2 linked regions of the Nothobranchius furzeri genome follow. The protein of the gene in region 1 interacts with the protein of each later gene in a pairwise test. Links are inferred from orthologs where the notes say so. Each region holds a gene or a part of one and is shown on either strand. Other genes may lie near its edges.

Region 1 (3,292 bases):
GTAGATCTATCAGGATGTTCTAATCCTAGAGTTTCACCATCTGTTTTCTATCAGAAGCTAATGCAGGAGATAGGTGTAGGAGACTATTTCATGTTCAGCCTACATGAAAAACAAAGAGTGACCCATTAGAATCAGAAATAATCATTAAAAATTATTAGTCAGTGTTCCGCACCTTTAAGCAACTGGAAATCTACACAAGACTTTTATTTTGAAAGTTTCCACGTGTTTCACACCGCCCTCGTGTTTGATTTTTTTTTTCTCCTGGAACCACCTGAACGGCTGAGCTTGTCTCGTTCTAGAAGCCTACCTTGTAAAAATGAGAACCAAAGAGTAAATTAAGCAGAGCAACGCAACACTCCACTTGTGAGACACGTCTGATGGCCGGTGGAAACGCACCCGTCGACTAACGGCGGCCATAACTACGTACTACAACCCGTGGACGTTATAGGACGATTACGCTTCTGGTGGAAAGCTGGAGTTATCTCCACTAGGTCATATCCAAATCTGGTGACCGTAGGTGAAGGTCATGATGGTCCATCCTGCTTCACGCCCCCCATCACAACACCATCACACCTAAAAGAGATTCACAAATCCCCCTTTTTGGTCTCCCACCTCTGACACTAAGGAACTAACTGATCAATCCAACTTTTTGCAACAACTTTTTATTTATTTTACAAATTCAGAGGTTTTCCAGAGGAAGCCCACTCTTTTGGAACAGAAAGTACAGTTTTGTACCAGTTTGTGAGTGACCCACCAAAACTCCCTAATGGAAAAAAAAAAAAGCCTGATAAAAGCCCAGAAGACTGCATCTGTGCACTCACTCCTCTGAGCGGAGCTGCCAGACACACGAGGAGGTGTGGAATGAAGGGAGTGAGGTTAGCGTGCATGCTCACCAGGGAATGTCTCTTCACGTGCTCGCGGCGGGTGAACAGCTTGCCACAGATGTCACAGCTGAAGGAGCGCACACCTGAGTGGATGATCAGGTGCCTCTTGAGTGTGCGCCGGTGCTTGGCGATGTAGTTACAGTGGGGGCACTTGAGCTTATTGAGAGCTAGGTGTGAGGCCTCACCTGAGCAGGAAGGAGAAAACACAGAGACGGGAGAGAGGTCAGCCGGAGACGGAGGATTTAATCTCAGCTTCAAATCAATGAGATGTTCCAGTCAGTCGTAACGGCCAGATGAAACATCACAGCGGTCGTAAATGTTACATTTCCATTTGAAGATGAGCCGATGAGGGTGTGTGTGTGTGTGTTAGGAACCAATATCCTGTTCATCGAATGGCTGCGCTAGGATGCGGTGGCCATTAGTGCAAATACAAACCACCAACTCTGAGATGAGCCCAAAAAAAAAATAATCACATAATACCATCAAAGTCCTTTTATGGCTGTTGCTAAGCAACCAATAACTGCACAGAAAAGATGGTGGAAACCAACAATGACGCTTGCCAGCAAATATTCTCATTCAGAAGCACAAATCTAGGATTTAAATGACAAACTACGACTAATAACCATTAATAACAGTTCGTTTTGGATATTTTCTTTACTGGTTATTAGAATTACAGCTTTAGTAACACATTTATGCGTTATTTCAGTATGACTATAGGTGCATTTGCGTCTGATTTTGTTCATTTACGCTCTAAAAGGTGTGTGAAAGGAGACAGGCGGGTTCAAATGTGAGTTTTGAGGGAAAAAAATAAGATCTTTATTTGTTTTCTCGGTGAGAGAGCGGGGCGCCGTCTCTTTGTTTGAGACAGAGGCGTTGTTAAGGTGGCTCGGCCAAGGGGCGAGGAAGGGGGGGGGATGGTTGATAAGAAGCAGGTCACCTGTGTAAGAGTGTGTGTGTGTAAGAGTGTGTGTGTGTGTGTGTGTGTGTGTGTGTGTGTGTGTGTGTGTGTGTGTGTGTGTGTGTGTGTGTGTGTGTGTGTGTGTGTGTGCTTTAAACACAGCCGTGTAGAGGTGCAACAGTTAGTTAAGGCTCTAAGCGTTAAGCAGAAAATGACCTGATCTTTATGGTCTGTTATTACGCAGACAGAGCAGAGAAACCACGATGAAAGTATAAAAAAGAAGGGGAATGGTAGTGAGTATGAATCATTTCCATTATTTCTCGACTACATCCACCCAGCCTACCGCTAAATTCACAAAACACTGCAAACACGTTTAAAAAGCAGGATTAAATCCAATTAATCCATTTTCTCTACACTGGGCAGGGACTTTTAGCCACTGATTCAATTGTAACGAAAAGTAGAGACGCATCAATTCTGCTTTTTATGGAACAGTATTGATTTACTTTTTTTAAAAGTAGCAAAAAAAAATCCATTTATGAACTCTTCCAAATGTCTGATTAAATCAAAGATTCGCCTCAGCAGCTCGCTAACAGGTAGCTTTGAGAATCAAAGACAGATCCTCGTTCAATTCTTTGCTTATTTTGATTCATCTAAAAAAATTGACGCTTTGCATTTTACAGATAATAACCATATAATTAAGGAAGAAGCAGTTAAGAAAATAAAGGCTCGTGTTTATTTGGTCACATAACGTCTGATGCTAAACGCTCCAGGTTAACTGGGACACCCGGAGTTTAACAACTCCTTTTGTATCATTAACGGTCTTAAATGATAACCTTTTGTCACTTTTGATCGATTGGGGGATAATTTGCTTACACTATTTAAAAATACAACCATTTTGATAAATCATTCCAAGCTGGAGTCTAGAGAGTGGCTTCTTACCATTCTCCCAGGTCTCTCCTTGCTGTAAGTCTTGGATGATGCTATACTGGATCTGATTGGCCAGCTCTGGGAAAAGGGGGAAAGGGGGAAGAGGGGGAGGTAGAGAGACAGGTGAGAGGTGGTTGTGAACCTGTGTGGGGAGGGGGAGGGGGTGCACACCTCACAATGTCCTGTGTACACAACCACCCCCCACCCCCCAGGACTGAATACAATGGACGTTTCTGCAAACACAAAGTCCCAGAACCCCACTGTATGTAAAGCAGCTGGCGTCCCGAGGCGTCGCTACAAGCTAACCGCAGCTAACCGGGTTTCCAGCGGGGAGGGGGTTAATTAGAGGATGACAGAGCTGAGCATTCACACCGGCTCATCTTACACCCTGCTTTTGTACACCTGTGTACGTGTGTGTGTTCTTCCTAAAGCAGCAGTGCTGAGAGACCATTAAGGACACACCCCTCTGTGTGTGTGTGTGTGTGGTGTGTACTCATTGTCCCTGGGTCAATATTTGAAATAGTGAAGGTAGCCCCAGTGCATTAGAGTAGATTAGAGAATGAAGGGACAGCCCCTGGCAGCT
Region 2 (4,391 bases), on another chromosome or scaffold:
ATGGATGTAAACGTGCACGAAAACCCTGAAGAGGCGACTCAGGATTTTCTTGACCACCTGCTGGAAGTTCTTGGGGAAAGGTATGCCTAAAGTGGAAAAGTAAAGAATTGAGTTAGGGAACTTCTGCCAGAAGACCTGTTAGAGGGAAAGCCAGTCTCGTTATCTTTGTCTTTGTGCTACAGAAATGGCAACGGCATCAAGTATTTCTAGGTAATTGTGCAGTAATAAAAACTGCATGTCAAACATCATAAAACCAACTTTCATATTTAAGATAAGTGCTTTGGGTCTTGTTCTTGCCTAACCTCATGGAAAATAATTAGATCAAATACCAAATGAACAATGCTTGCTTTATAGACGATCATTTAGAAAAGTTGGAATTTTAGAGTTTTTAATTCTTCTGATCAACGTCTCCGCCTTGTTTAAAGGAATAAGCCAATAAAACCCATGTAAAATCAATGAGACAATGGGCCACAAGTACACACTGCTGTGTTCCACTCCCCTTAGGCAGAGAATTGTCCTCCCCATTAACATCAATTATAAAATCTGACATGCACCAAATATTAATGCCACTATTAACCAGGCTCATCTAAATGTCAACATCATTGTCTAATTAACCTTTTATTGAACCCAGTGATTGGATTTGAAAGCTTGGTGAAGGTGAGCAGCTTGGCTCTTCCTCTCTGAAGCAGAACACGTTATATATTTTCTTTAGTCAATAACATCAAAGATTGCTTAATAATTTGTAAACTCTTTACACACACCTATTCTGGTGGGGAAGATGTCCTCGTCATTAATGAGCGACTCGATCCAGTCCATCAGCAGAGTCATGTACTTGAGAGCGGGGAGCTTGGTGGGCTTCTTGTAGTCCTCTCCATCCTGCCATCTGTACTCGTACCTCAGTCCTCCAGACATAATGGGGCATGTGCGTTCGGTGCAGTACTCACTAACTGTGCCATAAATCAAGTTGATCCTGTTGAAGAAATCCACCACATGAACTGCAATCCAGTCGTTGAGGTTCTCTCCCTCTGGCAGCTGAACCACTTTCCTCAGGTCCAAACCCGACTTGAGCGAGGCCTGAGCCTTCTTGTAGAGTTCAAAGCGCTGTGTGCCGGGCTCAAACCGCTTCTTCGGCCTGAACGTTCTGGCTTTACTGAACACTTGACCGAGGCACAGCGCCATTGACTCGGTCGTTCCCCCTAGAATGAGGGGAGTGAAGGCTCTCCAGAGTAATGTTTGGCTTTGAGTTGGATAAAGTGGGTCCAGGCGAAATCAGGTCACAAGAGGTCAGAGTTGGTTATGGAGAGACGACAGGGAGTCCTTTAATCCAGATGTTTCTGTCAGGAGCAAAAACAGACATGTTAGGCTTTACCGTTTACCTGGTGGTCTATTATCTTTGTCAAAATTGTTATTGATAGGGTTCAATCCAGTAAAACATACTGATGCAATACATTATTAGGATATTTTGTTATAGACTCGTTTTTTTCTAAATATCAGCTTTCACAAAAAACATCTTTGTAAGAAACCACAACAGGACAAACAAGAATAACCATTACTGTCTCATTAGAGTTAAGTGACCAACATGACCTCATCAGGGGCTTTAAGTGTTTCATCCACAACCCAAAATAGCAACAATTTAACTGGAGCAACAGCTGGGCCCCAGGGAGTCAAGCCTGATTGAGAAAACAAATGCCACGCTGGGAGTCAGTAGACCAAACGACTCTCGGGAGCACAGACAGACATTCTCATCGTTCAGATTCAGCGTGGTGGCAGGATTTTAACTCCGTGTAAACACACTGAATGTGACAGCTAACGGAAAACGTTCTTTGGTGTATGGAAACTAAACCCACTGAAGCAATTACAGATTTTCTTCCGAAGCTATTAACCATCTGTTTGGTAATCTACAGCGACCGAGAGAGAAAAACCTCTCAAAAGTTCAGACTGTGTTTTTGCAGTGAGGAACTTTTCCTAAGGAGTTTATTTCAGGACTGAGTCACATTTTTCAGTTCAGTCTTTTGAACACACATGCCGCTGGCCCAAGTTTGACACACAGTCACTTCCAAGACTGTGGTTGCAATGTGAAACTATATTGGCGTTTGTGTCCTGATTCCCGTTTTGAACGGCGGTTCCGGCCATTTCCTGTTGTTTTATCTGAGACTACATGGTTCTAATGAGAAGTTTACCCTAACCCCTTTCTAGCATTTTTATACACATCAGGGACTAAACACTGAGGTTGAGATTTTGTGGTGAACTTAAATGATGAATCCTCACCCCAGAGGTGTAGTGCTTGTGTTTTGCGTCTGTTCTATTGAAGGAAAACTACAGTAAAAATTCACTGTGTGCTCGATTTCATTCATTTGATCATTCTTAATGTGCCAATTAAAAAAACTGCTACTAAATCAGGAAAAGTTAGAGTTTCTGCCGAAAAGTCAGGGGGACATGTTTCTAGTGAAACTCAAAATTTGCATCAATACAATTTATTGGCAGCAAAAGTCACAGCAAGAGGACAAAAAGTCAGCGTGCCTCAACCGCCCCAGGCTCAGGCATGTCTAATCATGTGCTCAGAATAACAGACCCTTCATGCTTGCTTCACGGGTCCTCGTGAAATCTGCCAATGTTAGTTCAAGTGAGAATAGGAAATAATAAAATAGCTGATCACGTGTTCAAGATTCAGCTGCAACAAAAACAAAACAAGAAAGGAAAAAACTGCCTCTACAGTACCTCTGTGAGATCCTACGATGGATAGTTTGGAATGTTGTTTATGGAAGTTCTGGAAGGATTAAACTCCCATGTGGAGGTCAGCTCCAGCTGCTCTGCTCCTTTATTTGTCCTAAATCTTCTTTCAATGCTAGCCACTGGCAGTCCGATGGGCTCCAACCTCACAGCGGCACACACAACACAGAAAAGAATAGAAAAAGAAAGAAGTGTTTGGCTTCTCTTCCTGTAGATGATGTCACATCCTGACTTTGTGTGCTGGCCCTCGCTGTCTGTGTGTGTGTGTGTGTGTGACCACATGTGGGTGTGTTTGTGGAGAACCTATAATTTTAAGGAAGAGAAGAGACAAAAAAGGGCCTTCCCAAACCCCGACTCTGCCCTTTCCCCCCTCTCCTTCTCTTCTTTTTTAGTAAGCAGAGCAGCCAGCCCACAGCTCCAGGCCCAACCCTCTGGTGAAAGTCCTGCATGGGAAAACAACTCCCTCTCTTGAGCAACACGTAGGACTGCCAGAGCGAAAGATACCACAGGCATTTCTGGATGTTTGACGGTCCGTATGGGCATTTTCTGCAATGTCTCAATAAGCCGTTATTAAATTCTTTGCTTTATGAAAGCTTTATGTAAACTGCTGAATTTACAGCTCAACCTTGGATAGAGAATGCATCAGAATCAGCATTTGGATCTATAAACAAGGAGCTTTTAACTGAAACCGTTTGTTCCTCTGTACCACGAGCCGGCAGCTCCTTGGATATCCACCTTTGTCAAGGAATGAATGAGCCACTGAAATGTAGAGGGTGTGTGTACAGTGAAAGCCAATATGAAACAAGCTTTTACAAGCTTTTCTTTCTAGAGTGTCCCCCCCCCACACACACACACACACCCACACACCCACAAACACACACACACACACACATGTTTGAGTCTAAATCAGTGCAGGATGACATAACATTTCAGGTTTCAGTTAGCCGTTTCTACAGCAGGCACACAGAATGAGATCAAAACTGCCTGAACTGGTTGACACCCCCCTTCCTCCCCAGTCAGGTGTGGCAGGTGGTAACTCTTCTTGTTTGTTGGAGTTTCCCAAAGCGAGTTCTCCCTGGCTGGCTTCAGTTTGGCGCTTGCTTTGGGTATTTAAATAAAGGGAGATAGTTTTTGTAAGCAGATGCTTTCAAATTCAGTGTTTTGTAAAGCTTAACCTACTACGGGTCAAAAGAAGACGTTTCTTCCCAAATCGATGCTTCCTGTGTGCGATGCTGCCTTTTTGCTCAGAGAGGTAACCTCTCAGCCGGGGCAGCATAAAGTCCTTCAAACTGGATCAGAATGCAACTTTGGCTTGAGAAAGATTTTCCAAATATCCTACCTCTAGATGCAACCGGAAGCTCACACAGTTCCCTACCAGTGCTAGACACTTTATCCCTTTTTACATGTTTAAACAAAAAAAGCCCTTAACCGCTTTCAGTTGGTCCAGAACTCTGCAGCGAGGCTCCTAACTGGAGCAAACGGACGAGCTCACATCACTCCTATTTTACTGTCTCTTGCACTGGTTACCTGTTAACTTTAGAGTTCATTTTAGAATCCTGACTATAACTTTCACTGCTCTGCATGGCCAAGCTCCTTCCTGTATTCCTGAACTGTTAAAGCTTTATGCTCCAACCAGAGCCCTCAGGTCCACCCGCCAGAAC

What was found.
Region 2: the proteins of zbtb10 (region 1) and mob3c interact in binary tests that used the Homo sapiens proteins (3 or more experiments, as listed by UniProt). The link is inferred for Nothobranchius furzeri from reciprocal best matches to the Homo sapiens genes ZBTB10 and MOB3C.

Annotation. Positions count from the first base shown.
Region 1 is NC_091759.1:533,253-536,544, forward strand, and holds part of zbtb10 (zinc finger and BTB domain-containing protein 10), read right to left. Parts: intron 2,788-3,292; coding exon 2,722-2,787; intron 1,070-2,721; coding exon 894-1,069; intron 1-893. UniProt on the Homo sapiens protein: May be involved in transcriptional regulation.
Region 2 is NC_091748.1:53,908,742-53,913,132, reverse strand, and holds the start of mob3c (MOB kinase activator 3C), read right to left. Parts: upstream 2,876-4,391; 5' UTR 2,719-2,875; intron 1,335-2,718; 5' UTR 1,180-1,334; coding exon 762-1,179; intron 87-761; coding exon 1-86. UniProt on the Homo sapiens protein: May regulate the activity of kinases.